Arabidopsis thaliana: one gene and its partner. Changing the gene in region 1 together with any one later gene gives a genetic interaction. Each region holds a gene or a part of one and is shown in the gene's direction. Other genes may lie near its edges. The genes, in order: KINESIN-13A and AN.

Region 1 (8,597 bases):
TGAGGGAGCTACCAAGTTTTTGCTCCCCAGGCTCAGTGACTTCCAATTGTAAGTTACCCCAATCTATCGTATCTTGCTTGTTATACATGACATATATTTCATCTGAAATCTCATCAATGCTTGTGTTGTCTGATTTTACAGCTTTGTTGGGGAGGGTATGCATGATGACAGCACTTTGGTCTTTGCTTACTACAAGGAGGGTTCAACTAACCCAACATTTTTGTACTTCGCTCATGGTTTGAAGGAGGTCAAGTGCTGAGAGAGAAGCTCTCGTTGGGTTACTGTGGTCGGTCGCAGCGACTCTCTAAGTTTATGTTTCTTTATATTGTCCTGTGTTTCGTCGTCGTCCCCTATTAAAATTACCTGCCAGTTTACTTTTCTCTCTTCTTGTTTTCTGTGTTGGAAGATTCTCAAGTTATTTATTCCGCAAAAAACGGTTTATCATTTACAATTAGTTGAATTTTGGTCGTTACTTTTTGTGTTATTTGGTGTGATATCTCTTCAGCTTTGCTTTTCTAAATTAAACTCCCGAATCTCGAGGCATGTTTATAGTAGATGTCTAATAATTTTGGATTCAGATCTTATGGACGTGAATAAACGAGTGGGTTACTCTAACTGTTAGTAACTTTAAATCATGGAATATGCTGTAGAATGATTCTTTTGACTTTAGTCTAATGGTGTTTTATCCCTTTAAAAAGAAAAAGTTTCGTACAGACATGATGTCTTGAGACATCATCATAGGCATGTTCTGCTCCTTATCAAGGATTTCTATCTCACGTGCGGAATCGATACTAACTAGAGTTCTGTCATCTTGGTTTTAGTTGTGAGACAAATCACAATGTGGCCGTAATAATAATGTATTATGTGTATTCTTTTACTTTGACAAACAACACAACCTATCCTATGCTTTACTATTCTTTTAGTTTGTTGGTTTTATTATTCGAACTATTTATTTATGTATGTGTGGTGTCCGTATGGATGAGAGGGCAACCAAAATGCGTTGGTACGTATTTGTGTCTCACGTAAAAGGAAACGTGATTTGGTCTTGGTCGGTTTGACGTTGCTCCAACTCTCTTGTATCTTATGTATTTATCGTCATTATTTCTTCAAACTTTGTTGTTCCTTTCGTTTTAGGCTTTTAGCCTACACTATTTAAACATTTCTTATGTAACAAGTAGTATCAACTTCTATCTATATGACTATATTGACGTAGCCATACAAAGGAGGTAGATCATCTAAACTTACACAAAACTAGAGAGACCAATGTTTTTAGGAAGGATAAATAAAGGAAAAGCTCCTTTCATACTGGTTTATATAGTGATTACTTAAAATCAGGAATCCTTTAGATCGGAATGCTTTAGGCTAAAGCAAAAGCTTTTTGATTCAAAAGAAAGGAACCCACAAGCTGTATTAGCCCCACTTCGCTACTTTTGCATATTCTCGTTCGTATATTTTATTGGATTAACACTTTTTTTTGGGGTTTAAACAGTACACATACATACACAAGATTGGTACTTTTGATATACACTCACTTATATTCGCACATCTAAACAATTCAAAATTTGAAACCGTATAAAAATTTAAACAAACATAAGAATATATAAGATTAGATCATTGTCATGTACTAAAATTCCAAAAGTTGTGGATTTCATGTCGAGAAAAACTCATGTCATCTTCCTCGGACAATTTCAAATTTCATCTCTATTACCATAGATGGTCCAAAACAACATCCTTAAATACCATAAAGTAGCTAAAATCTGAAAATGCACATAACTGATCAACCCACCAAGGTTATATTATTAGTTATACTACATATATAATAAACCAATCAATGTTTATGCAATCTGCTCAAAAAGGTATGAGATTCATACCGTATGATTCAAGATGAGAACATCAATTCTATTTTTATGTCACCATGTTGGTATATGTCCTTGTGTCACGATCTCAGCAAAAAAATAATATTTCAACACTATCTTTTAGAATATATAAGACCGTTCAAAGAAGATTGTTTCAAATGTTTTGGACTAGACTGTACAATCTTAAAAAGTAGGACAAATCGGTGAATATTTCTGAAGTTAAAGGGTGATCTAACTGTCACTTTTTTAAAAAACTTTTAAACACCTCAAACTTTTTAATTTATTGTGTAAGTGTCTTATACTTTGTCAAATCTTCTTCAACGCCCCTCTCTTTCTCATCTCTCTGCGCCTAACGTCGCTTACGGAAGAAGACGAAAATTTTGAACAGAAGCTCTCTCTCTCTATCTCTCTATCTCTCTATCTCTAACGCTATTCGATGTGCGTAAATTAGGGTTCTTCACTCGTCGGATCTGATTGTATATTGTGAAAATCTCAGATCTCAGATCTCTTATCTAACACCGTTGCGTGTCTTCGTTTCCTTCTGGTAATCATTACTTTGGATAACATCGATCTTCTTCTCCGATTATTGGATGCAATTTATTGATTGAATTTCAGATTTTGAAGGAGGTGAAGCAAAGTCGGGAGCTGTACATTTCCGCTTTCATGTTCTGTGTTGAATCCGAATTCTCTCCACATTGTGAGTTTCTCTTCGATTTGAATCTAACATTCTATTGTTGAAATTAGGAATTTTTTGATTTGTAACAAATGGGTGATTCTGGTTTTTGTATGGATGAAGAGTTGTTTTTACAGATCTCCGAAGTTGGCTCCTCAAAGAAGATCACAGCGCCTCATGGGCGGCCAAATGCAGCAAAACAATGCTGCGGCTGCGACGGCGCTTTACGATGGGGCTTTACCCACTAATGACGCAGGAGATGCAGTCATGGCACGGTGGCTTCAATCCGCTGGTTTGCAGCATTTGGCGTCTCCTGTTGCTTCTACAGGCAATGATCAGCGTCACCTCCCAAACCTTCTCATGCAGGTAATTGCTTTCCCTGATTCTTTGTTTCTGTACTCTTCCAATATTTTGCATGCCCTTTAGTTTTCTTGATGGAGTTTGCCCTAGCTTGGTAAAGTATGCAAATTTTGTATTAGACGCAGATAGCCAAGTTTTGTTAGAGTTTTCGGTCGCTAATTCCTGCGCACATTTGGTGTTAGACTACTAAAAACGCTGCAGTAGGAAATTAGGAATGTAGGATTGTTTCTCCCTGTTATGGATATTAGTCATAACGTATCTCAAGGAGAGCTTGGAATTTGTTTGGCCATTTATGTAATGTGATTAAGTTAGATGTTTGCTGCAGGGTTGTTAGTGATTTCTTCTTCGATTGGTAAATTTCTATAGAAACTTTTGCCTTGGCTCTTGTATAATTCGCATGAACGGGTTCTGATATTTGAAGCATCCTTTGTGGTGTTTGCGGTATCTGCTAGGGTTATGGAGCTCAGACTGCTGAAGAGAAACAAAGACTGTTCCAACTAATGAGAAATCTCAATTTTAATGGGGAGTCGACTTCTGAATCATATACACCAACTGCTCACACATCAGCAGCTATGCCCTCTTCGGAAGGATTTTTTTCACCTGAGTTCAGAGGTGATTTTGGAGCAGGATTATTGGATCTTCATGCAATGGATGATACAGAGCTTCTATCTGAGGTATGCTTGGAAGAAGAACTAGTGCAAAGACTTATTCATAGTTACTCATTAGTGCCCATGGATAACAGAAAGATCATAAATTTTCATCATCAGATTGTCTGTTCTTGTGTTACATCCCAGTTTTCAAACTGTTCTTGCCAATCTTACATTGCCATATTGAGTCCCACCTAATCCATTGGCTTTGTGCACATGTAATCTATCTGCGAGACTTCTGTAGGCAACTTCTGATCTTGACACTCGAATGGATTTAGCGAGATGTGACAGTTTTGGTCTTGTTGTCATTAGAAAAGCATCTGAGCTAAATAACTGCTTGTTGCATTTGCTAGTTCATAAAGAAAGCGATTATCCATGTGAAAGTTACCAACTTTTATGATACGTGACTTTCCTTTCATTTTGCAGCATGTGATTACCGAACCCTTTGAGCCGTCACCTTTCATGCCTAGTGTAAATAAAGAATTTGAAGAAGACTATAATTTGGCAGCTAATCGTCAACAGCGGCAACAGACAGAAGCTGAACCTTTGGGTTTATTGCCTAAAAGTGATAAAGAAAATAACAGTGTAGCCAAGATTAAAGTAGTGGTAGGTCATTCACTTGAGAACTGACATGTTTCCTTACTACTTGATTGTTTTATAAGCAACGTTCATTATGACTAGGGATGATTGGGAAACCACTTTTTTTTTTGTCTATAGGTAAGGAAAAGACCCCTAAACAAGAAAGAAACAGCTAAAAAGGAGGAGGATGTCGTGACGGTATCTGATAATTCTTTGACTGTCCATGAGCCCAGAGTGAAGGTTTGTGTGCATTCTTCATCATAGATAACAATGGCAAACATGATTCAGTTGAACAACTGAACGATGGCATCCTGCTATTAAAGGTCATATATTCTTTTCATTTAATATTGTCTTTTCGAATATTGAATGAACCGTAATCTTGTTGGTGCAGGTTGATTTGACTGCTTATGTGGAAAAGCATGAGTTCTGCTTTGATGCTGTTCTAGATGAGGATGTTTCAAATGACGAGGTAAGTTAAGAATTGAGCTTATTGGAAACCATAGAAAATCCTATTAGGTGTCCGTGATGCAACCTTGAGCTTTGGTAGATTTATGATTTATGTCAAGGTCGACATACCTGATTGACCTATTAACTAGATCATAGCATGTGGTTTCCCCCAATCCAGATTGGATTGATGTATGGATACATTAAGCTTTTTATATATACAGAAGCTTTATGCTGCTTTGAACATGTTTGTTTGTTTCCTTGAATAGGTGTATCGGGCCACAATTGAGCCAATAATTCCCATTATTTTCCAGAGAACTAAAGCTACATGCTTTGCATATGGCCAAACAGGTATGCAATGACATTAATGTTCATTGGGAAATACACTGATAGTTATACTCTTGCTAACAGATTCCAGTTTTTAGAGGATAATAGATTAATAGTTTCTTCATGCTTTCATGGCCCTAATGATGTTTTGCTTATTCAGGTAGTGGTAAGACATTTACAATGAAACCATTACCTATACGAGCAGTTGAAGATCTTATGAGGTTGTTGCGTCAACCAGTATACAGCAATCAGAGGTTTAAATTGTGGCTCAGCTATTTTGAGATATATGGTGGAAAGCTGTTCGATCTTCTCAGTGAGAGAAAGTTAGTGTTCTTTCTTTTTCTCATTTCTTATAAATGTCGTCTTTGTTGAGGGGTTTTATGTTTTCCTTTTCTTTTGGCATATACTTTGTTCAGGCATATACTAGCTTATAATTGTTATTTCGATGTCAGTATATCGTAAACATTGGCACTTATTCATCCTATCAGTGTCAATACTTTCCATTGTTGTCTACTACTATCGCAAATGCATGTTTACCATTGTCTAAATCATTCAGTTATTGCCGAGTAGGAAACTTTGCATGCGAGAAGATGGTAGACAGCAAGTTTGCATTGTTGGCCTGCAAGAATATGAAGTTTCAGATGTACAAATTGTAAAGGATTTTATCGAGAAAGGAAATGCCGAAAGGAGCACAGGTTCAACTGGAGCAAATGAGGAATCTTCTAGATCGCATGCCATCCTACAGCTTGTTGTAAAAAAGCATGTTGAGGTAAAAGACACTAGACGGAGGAATAATGATAGTAATGAATTGCCTGGGAAAGTTGTGGGAAAGATTTCTTTCATTGACCTTGCTGGCAGTGAAAGAGGTGCAGACACCACAGACAATGATCGCCAGACAAGGTAAAGATTCTCTTTGCCCCTGTGATTGAGTAGTTTGAGAATTGACCTACCACTAATGTGTAGATTAAAATTTATGCCTCTGTTGGACTTGTGGGCATTGATAAAGTGGCACTTTGCTGCTACCTTTTTACTTTAGGACCACCACACTTCAGATCTAAATGCTTCATTGTTTTCATTGTGGATTTTTCTTAGGATTGAAGGCGCAGAAATCAACAAGAGTCTCTTGGCTCTTAAGGAATGTATACGTGCACTGGACAATGACCAGCTACATATACCATTTCGTGGAAGCAAACTAACGGAAGTGCTCCGTGACTCATTTGTTGGAAACTCAAGAACGGTGATGATTTCCTGCATCTCTCCAAATGCAGGATCGTGTGAACATACCCTCAATACTCTAAGATATGCTGATCGGTATGTTTTGTACAAACTATAGCCTCTTGTGAAACAAATTCTCAATTTCATCGTCTATTAACCTCTGTTGGTTATGTATGGAATAAACAGAGTCAAAAGTCTATCTAAAAGTGGAAATAGCAAGAAAGATCAAACTGCGAATTCAATGCCTCCGGTTAATAAGGATCCTTTGTTGGGCCCAAATGATGTAGAAGATGTCTTTGAGCCTCCACAGGAAGTGAATGTACCAGAAACCAGGAGGAGGGTGGTCGAGAAGGACAGCAACAGCAGTACGTCGGGTATTGACTTCAGACAGCCTACAAATTATCGAGAGGAAAGTGGAATCCCATCATTCTCAATGGACAAGGGAAGATCAGAGCCGAACAGTTCTTTTGCTGGCTCCACTAGTCAGAGAAACAACATTTCTTCATATCCCCAAGAAACTTCAGACCGTGAAGAGAAAGTAAAGAAAGTGTCACCACCTCGTGGGAAAGGGTTGCGGGAAGAAAAACCAGACAGACCACAAAATTGGTCTAAAAGAGATGTCAGTTCGTCGGATATCCCTACCTTGACAAATTTTAGACAGAACGCAAGTGAAACTGCTTCAAGGCAATATGAAACCGCTTCAAGGCAATATGAAACCGACCCTTCGCTTGATGAAAACCTCGATGCACTGCTTGAGGTAAAGTACTCACCTATCCCTTTAAAACATGAGATGAAGCTGTGAATTTGATTTGCAAGTAACGGTAGTTCTGTTTATGTCTTATCGTAACCATCACATGACTTTTTTCAGGAAGAAGAAGCTCTGATTGCAGCGCACAGAAAAGAAATTGAGGATACAATGGAGATTGTTCGCGAGGTATGTAAATCACATCATTGCAGCGCACAAAAAACGATTGTAGAATGTTATCACATCATTCAATTTTCTTTTCTGTTATATCATTATCAGGAAATGAAACTTCTAGCGGAGGTGGACCAACCGGGAAGCATGATAGAAAACTATGTGACGCAACTGAGCTTTGTGTTGTCCCGGAAAGCAGCAGGGCTAGTCAGTCTTCAAGCCAGGCTTGCTCGGTTCCAACACCGTCTCAAGGAACAAGAAATACTGAGCCGTAAGAGAGTTCCTCGGTAGTTGGTAGAAGAAGGAAAACCAAAAGTGTGGTGTTGTTTAAGTGTGAAAGGTTGGTTGGGTGATCTCTTCTTATATATGACAAAGAATGACAGAAATGTCCTTCATGTTTGTGAATTTGGGCATTTCTTTCCTTTTATTTTTGAATCTTTATTATAAAGTTATACCTTTTGTGTTTCTTATTTTTCTCTTCTCCTCTATCCTCCCAGAAAGCTGGATACTGTCAATGTGAATCAAACTCTTTTATCAATCAACTGAAAAAGTATAAAACCATTTATCATCTGAAAATGTTTCAAAATTTGGTGAGCCATATATAAAATCAAATTTCTAACAATTAATAAGATCTTCAAATACCATCTATATAGTGACAACCAATGAAAAGACAGTTGAATAGCTCCAAAAGAACAAATAAAGCAATTCTCTCTTGTCGTAAAGATAAAATGGCCAACAAGATTATGCAGCCCAACTAAAAAGGCCTTGGCCCACACTTTACTATTGATCACGTGACATGCCTTTTTCACGATTGCAATATAAGAGCCATTTTCCACCGTCCGATGTTAAAACCCAAACCGATTTAAACCGTCCATGAAAGTCGCTTATCTCCTTCTCCTTCCCGTCGTAGTCGCACTGTCGCAGGCGAGTAAAAGGCGATTTATACAAATACAAAAAAAGCGCATGAAGTTGTTTTTTTTTCTTTCCAGACTTTTGCCTTCTCTAACCAGGTTAGATTCTCGCCATCACTTTTTCTCCTCAATATCAATAGATTCTTCTTTGTATTTTCTGAATTCCTATGAGCAAAATATACCTACGATTTGGAAAATATTAGTTTCACTCCCATTTAATTTAGTGTCTTGTGGATTTAAAAGTAACGAGGATACAAAATTTGGTTGGTGCAGTGTTTCGTGATTTTGGGTGATCCTAGAAATGGGAGATGGGGCTGAGATTGTAACCAGGTTATATGGGGATGAGAAGAAGCTTGCAGAGGATGGTAGAATTAGTGAGTTGGTGGGATCTGATGAAGTGAAGGATAATGAAGAAGAGGTCTTTGAGGAAGCAATTGGTTCGCAGGAGGGTCTAAAACCTGAATCTCTCAAAACCGATGTGTTGCAAGAGGATTTTCCTTTAGCTTCCAATGATGAAGTGTGTGATTTGGAAGAAACAAGTAGAAATGAGAGAGGAGTAGAAAATTTAAAGGTTAATTATTCGGAGATTGGAGAGAGCCATGGTGAGGTTAACGAGCAATGTATAACTACGAAAGAGGCTGATTCTGATTTGGTGACTCTCAAAATGAA
Region 2 (6,096 bases), on another chromosome or scaffold:
CCGTATCGCTCCTTGCGTCGTTGAGAACGTCCCTGACTTCCTCACCCTCCGTCACCCTCGTCGCGAAACCGGTGCTTCTCTTGAGGTTAACGGCGTTCGCGTTCCTTCGTCGCAGACGGCGTCGCTTAAACTCCGCCGTGACAGAGTCGACCGGGAATCGTCGGAGGTGACTTACGTGAGCACTGAGACCGTTCGCGTTACCGGATGCGTTGATTTCGAGGTTTATGATAACGAGGATATGGTCTTGTGTGGGAACCTAGATAGAATCGAAGGTGCTTGGAACAATGGAACTGTGAGTGATCCCAAGACTGGATGGGGCATGGATTGTTACATTGCTATGGGAAACGGACACGTGTCAGGTCCTTCTGCCTCTGTGTTTTTCCAGCCAAAGTTTGGAGTCTCGTCTCCGTCCGTCGAGGTTTATATAGCTGGTTGTTGTGGTGGTGTCCCGGTGATATTGACCAAGACGATTCAGGCGAGTCCGAGGAGGAAGGTGGCTAGGCACGTGACACTCGACGCTATCCCTGAGGATGAGGAAGTTGGCAAAGAGCAAGACATTGGTACCATTGGTGATGAATTGGCCCGTCAAAGCAAAGTACAGGTATGATTCTGATTTCACAATTCTCTGTTTGGTGATTGTCCAAGCCCTTAAGTTACGATTCTTAATAACTTGGGATTGAGATTTGAAAAGGTTGCTTCTTTCGTCTAGTTTTGTGAGTTATGAATGCTGTAGCAGATATTTAGTTATTAAGATCACTCGCAAGTTTCTGGTGAATTTAGCTCCTGCTTGAATGTTTTCTTTGACTCTACAGCTGAATTTGAAAATTGTAGAATTGTTGACTGATCAGAAATTGAGATATGGATATAGGTCAATAGACTCTCTTTGCACTTTTTTTGGTGCTTTATCTTGTTTGTCGTTTCGTTTATGCAGATGATGGAATCAGAAGTTGATGAATACGATGACTCAGATATGAAAATGGCACAGAGATATTACCCTGAAGGAATGTACGTTGATGAGGATGGTCAGCTCTCATGGTTCAATGCAGGAGTCAGAGTCGGAGTTGGGATAGGCCTTGGGATGTGTCTTGGTGTAGGCATTGGAGTTGGATTACTCATGCGTTCGTATCAAGCAACAACTAGTAACCTTCGTAGGAGGTTTCTCTGATCATCACCTACCATAAACTAAAAACCCACTTAGACATTTCGAGATCTACTAAGAATGTCGGTAACGTAGTGGGTTATAAAAGAGATAGAATTTTGGTAGATAGATGTATAGAGCTTTTGGTTTTCACCTGTTTGTGTCCTTTTGAATATATATATATATTCGGCTCTGTTCATATACTTTAGTAGCACAAAAGAGAGTTCCCATCTTGCTCCAGTCATGTTCTTTTGTTCTTTCTTTTCTCAAGTCTGTCTATGTCGTTGCTCTTGTGTAGAAAGAGATTTCGTGTTATTGTTGTTGTTGTCAAACGCTGGAGTTTGTCTTTCGGTTTCTGGTCAGGAAATAATGTGGAATAGGGAATGTACATGTTTCACCTGTATTCAGTATCTGTTTGCAATTAGTAAATTAAATTATTACAACAAGCCAAGTGGAAGACGGCGTCGTTTATCATAAATGTCAAACCGATGACGTCTTATCGGGGGAGCATGAGCATTGGACTAAAAAATTATTGTCAATTTGTTTAAATTGTATTTTGGGCCCTGAAAATTATTATAAATGAAATTTAGCCCCTTAATTTTGTAAGAGTTTACAACATTGAACCCTAAATCATTATGTTCCCAAAATCAAAATTTCACTCCTCGAGAGTAGCGAGAAGAAGGAGGAGATGAGCAAGATCCGTTCGTCTGCGACAATGCCACATCGCGACCAGCCGTCACCGGCGTCGCCTCACGTCGTTACACTCAACTGTATAGAGGATTGTGCGCTCGAGCAAGACTCCCTCGCCGGCGTTGCTGGTGTCGAATACGTCCCGCTCAGCCGCATCGCCGATGGTAAGATCGAGTCCGCCACCGCCGTTCTCCTCCATTCCCTCGCGTATCTTCCACGAGCAGCTCAACGCCGACTCCGTCCTCACCAGCTCATTCTCTGCCTTGGCTCTGCTGATCGCGCTGTCGATTCGACTCTCGCCGCCGACCTAGGTCTCCGACTTGTCCATGTAGATACTTCACGAGCCGAGGAAATCGCGGATACCGTCATGGCGCTCATCCTTGGACTCCTTCGACGGACGCATTTACTCTCGCGACACGCTCTATCGGCGTCTGGTTGGCTCGGATCGCTTCAGCCTCTTTGCCGGGGAATGAGACGGTGCCGTGGTATGGTTTTGGGTATCGTTGGCAGATCTGTATCGGCTCGGTATTTAGCTAGTAGAAGCTTGGCTTTCAAGATGAGTGTGCTCTACTTCGATGTCCCAGAGGTATGTTTGTTGGCAATGTCTCGCTAAGCTTTTAATATCTTAGTGTAAACTGACTCTTTAGGGACCAAAAAAAGTGCTGAGTTCTTAGCTACTACATTCCTAAACTGCTTACTATGATGGCTCTCTTTCAAGTTCCTCTCCCTTGGATGTTATATTTGTTGTCAATAGTTGCGTTTGCGTCTGTTCAGGGAGATGAAGAACGAATCAGGCCCTCGAGATTCCCACGTGCTGCTCGAAGAATGGATACATTGAATGATCTTCTAGCAGCAAGTGATGTCATTTCGCTACATTGTGCATTAACAAATGACACGGTTCAGATACTCAATGCAGAGTGTTTGCAGCATATAAAACCTGGTATGAGTTTTCTTGTCAAATGAAATTTGATTCTCCATGAATGTGAATTGAAGATGAACTTCTGCTTTCTCGCATTCCCTTCAATTCTGGTTGATTTTATGTATTAGGGGCTTTTCTTGTAAATACTGGAAGCTGCCAGCTGTTGGATGATTGTGCTGTGAAACAACTTCTAATTGATGGCACTATAGCTGGCTGCGCCCTTGACGGTGCTGAAGGTCCACAATGGATGGAAGCATGGGTATGACTTTCTTTTCCAGTGACTAAACTTCACATTTGCGCCTGCCTATTCTCTTGTTTCATCATCTTCTTCTGTTGTTTATCCTGCATCCATTATATCTTGTTTTCATTGCAGGTGAAGGAAATGCCAAATGTGTTAATTCTACCTCGCAGTGCAGATTACAGTGAGGAAGTATGGATGGAGATAAGGGAGAAGGCTATCTCTATCTTGCATTCATTTTTCTTAGATGGTGTAATTCCAAGTAACACTGTTTCTGATGAGGAAGTTGAGGAAAGTGAAGCAAGTGAAGAAGAAGAACAATCACCTAGCAAACACGAGAAATTAGCAATAGTGGAATCCACCAGTAGGCAACAGGGAGAAAGTACTCTCACCAGCACTGAGATCGTACGTAGAGAGGCTAGTGAGTTAAAAGAATCTCTGAGCCCTGGTCAGCAACACGTTTCTCAAAATACTGCCGTAAAACCTGAAGGAAGACGTAGCAGATCCGGTAAGAAAGCCAAAAAGAGACATTCACAGCAAAAATACATGCAAAAAACGGATGGTTCCTCAGGGTTAAATGAAGAAAGTACTTCACGAAGAGATGATATTGCTATGAGTGACACAGAAGAAGTATTAAGTTCCAGTTCTAGATGTGCTTCTCCTGAAGATTCCAGAAGTAGGAAAACACCTCTTGAAGTAATGCAAGAGTCTTCCCCAAATCAGCTTGTAATGTCAAGTAAGAAGTTCATTGGAAAGTCAAGTGAGCTACTGAAAGATGGATATGTAGTAGCCTTGTATGCGAAAGACCTCTCGGGCCTCCACGTTTCCAGGCAAAGAACGAAAAACGGTGGCTGGTTCCTCGATACTTTGTCCAATGTATCCAAACGAGATCCTGCTGCACAATTCATTATCGCATACAGAAACAAGGTAAACCTTTTTCTCTCTCTTACTTTTCATTTATCTTGCTTACAATGCCAGATAGACCATTATAAATTGGTTTTGGTGCATGAACTTGTTTTCCAGGACACTGTTGGTCTGAGATCATTTGCTGCTGGTGGGAAGTTACTGCAGGTAGCTCTTACATTAGAGAGTGTTACTTCCATTGGTAACTCAATGTTGCTCTTATGGAATCTAAAAGTGGTTGTGTCATGGGTGTGTGTGTGTGCAGATCAATAGAAGAATGGAGTTTGTGTTTGCTAGCCATAGTTTTGACGTGTGGGAGAGTTGGAGTCTAGAAGGTTCTCTGGACGAATGTCGGCTTGTTAACTGCAGGAATTCCTCTGTAAGTCTCTGTCCTTACAGAAAATGGCCCGAAATTGAAAAACCCTACTTCTTGGAAAACAGAAATAATTTGTGTAATGAATGTTGCAGGCGGTGTTGGACGTTCGTGTGGAGATATTGGCAATGGTAGGAGACGATGGTATCACACGTTGGATCGATTAAAAAGAAAAACAGAGTCTCTCCATTTGTGAGTTTCTCTCTTTTAATTACTTTTGTTACTTTAACATCCTTAGGATTCACAGACGAAAAACAGAGACACCCAATTTTTGTGTTTCGAGACTGTGTCGTGTGTTGTGTAGTTGGTATCAACCAACTTATATCTGTAATCATTGTTTCTTTTTATTTATTCTCGGTTTGCAGAAACATCCGATGAGCTTGTCTTAGAGGGACGTTTGTTGTTGTTTTCTGGGTCTGGTCGTGATGAACTCGAAAGCATTGTGTGTTTGGTTAGTAGTTTGAAATAGGTGTGTGTATTGTATTTGTATATGCTGCGTTTGTGTTTTAGAGATCATCGTACATAAAACACATCATCGTACATAACTAAAATTTGAGCTAAACTACAAAAGAAAGTAACCTTCATTTTTAGTCGAACCAGGCCCCAGCTAGGCAGCTATCTCGTAAATAAGATTGCTGGCTTACGATCGTATTCCACGTGGCAATTTATGTGCCGTGGATTTAAATTTGTACGTGGCATGAGTGTTAGGAGAATGTCCACATGGCTTGTAGTTGTTAGTCCCACGCTCTGAACCAGAGCAACCGGCTCCTTACACGTGTTCGGCTTAAATCCATTTTTCGAATGAGATTACACTTCTAACCTTGTCTCCCTCTCCCGCTTATACCACCACCACTCTCACACAAGTCTCTCAAGTCACAAACTCTGTTTCAAACCAAAAGGGAACTTTGTGTGTGTTGTCGAGTTTTATGGTGACTGTAAACCCTAGCCAAGCTCATTGTTTGCCTATGAAAATGAGTCTACCGGGTTTCAATACTCTTCCCCACACGGCAACAACGATACCGGTTTCCATACGGAGCAATAGGACGATGTCGTTTTTTGAGGATCCAACAAAGAAGGTTAGAAAGCCTTACACTATCACCAAATCTAGAGAGAACTGGACGGAGCAAGAACACGACAAGTTCCTTGAAGCCCTTCATCTGTATGTTGACACGGATTTCACTTCTCTGCCTTCATTTATCTGATTAATGATATATAGAATCTTTGAGATTTGTTCTTCTTCTTCTGATATGATCATGTCTATTTGATTGCAGATTTGACCGGGATTGGAAGAAAATAAAGGCCTTTGTTGGATCAAAAACAGTGATACAGGTAATCAATCAAACATATGCATTCCATACTTTTGTCTGAAGTTACATATAAGTAATTTTATGAACTCTGTTCTTTGGGGTGGAATTGGAGATATAAGTTCTATGTATGTTGGATAGTAACTAGAATATTGGTTTTGTAGATACGAAGCCACGCACAGAAGTACTTTCTCAAAGTTCAGAAGAATGGGACTAAAGAACATCTCCCACCTCCTCGACCAAAGAGGAAAGCCAATCACCCATATCCACAAAAAGCTCCTAAATGTGGCAACCTTAAACCTTTTATCTTTCTACTTCCGCTTTTGTTACTTTATCTCATTTTCTCATGGTTATGTTTTTGATGCAGTTACTCTTTCTTCTTCAAACGCATTATTTCAACATGACTACTTATACAACACTAATTCACATCCGGTGATTAGCACCACCCGTAAGCATGGATTAGTGCATTGCGATGTTAGTATACCAAGTTCTGTTATCAAAGGTAAAATATGTGCTTAAGTTTGCTGTGTG

What was found.
Region 2: of KINESIN-13A (region 1) and AN, changing one suppresses a phenotype caused by changing the other (phenotypic suppression), as found in Arabidopsis thaliana (one study listed by BioGRID).

What each region holds. Positions count from the first base shown.
Region 1 is NC_003074.8:5,661,371-5,669,967, reverse strand, and holds KINESIN-13A (P-loop containing nucleoside triphosphate hydrolases superfamily protein), read left to right. Parts: upstream 1-2,016; 5' UTR 2,017-2,400; intron 2,401-2,471; 5' UTR 2,472-2,553; intron 2,554-2,652; 5' UTR 2,653-2,706; coding exon 2,707-2,895; intron 2,896-3,341; coding exon 3,342-3,563; intron 3,564-3,962; coding exon 3,963-4,142; intron 4,143-4,253; coding exon 4,254-4,355; intron 4,356-4,506; coding exon 4,507-4,584; intron 4,585-4,828; coding exon 4,829-4,910; intron 4,911-5,046; coding exon 5,047-5,209; intron 5,210-5,456; coding exon 5,457-5,786; intron 5,787-5,978; coding exon 5,979-6,197; intron 6,198-6,287; coding exon 6,288-6,858; intron 6,859-6,969; coding exon 6,970-7,035; intron 7,036-7,125; coding exon 7,126-7,308; 3' UTR 7,309-7,593; downstream 7,594-8,597. Other genes in the region: TCTP (translationally controlled tumor protein), read left to right, coding at 1-48, 142-259; TOC120 (translocon outer complex protein 120), read left to right, coding at 8,230-8,597. UniProt on the Arabidopsis thaliana protein: Internal motor kinesin involved in trichome morphogenesis. Participates in regulating the formation of Golgi-associated vesicles.
Region 2 is NC_003070.9:185,409-191,504, forward strand, and holds AN (NAD(P)-binding Rossmann-fold superfamily protein), read left to right. Parts: upstream 1-1,736; 5' UTR 1,737-1,826; coding exon 1,827-2,414; intron 2,415-2,602; coding exon 2,603-2,768; intron 2,769-2,875; coding exon 2,876-3,006; intron 3,007-3,120; coding exon 3,121-3,912; intron 3,913-4,008; coding exon 4,009-4,056; intron 4,057-4,153; coding exon 4,154-4,267; intron 4,268-4,356; coding exon 4,357-4,428; 3' UTR 4,429-5,064; downstream 5,065-6,096. Other genes in the region: AT1G01500 (Erythronate-4-phosphate dehydrogenase family protein), read left to right, coding at 1-601, 932-1,165; ASG4 (Homeodomain-like superfamily protein), read left to right, coding at 5,188-5,420, 5,533-5,590, 5,730-5,850, 5,933-6,067. UniProt on the Arabidopsis thaliana protein: Involved in controlling the equilibrium between tubular and stacked structures in the Golgi complex. Required for cortical microtubules (MTs) arrangement that confers cell shape.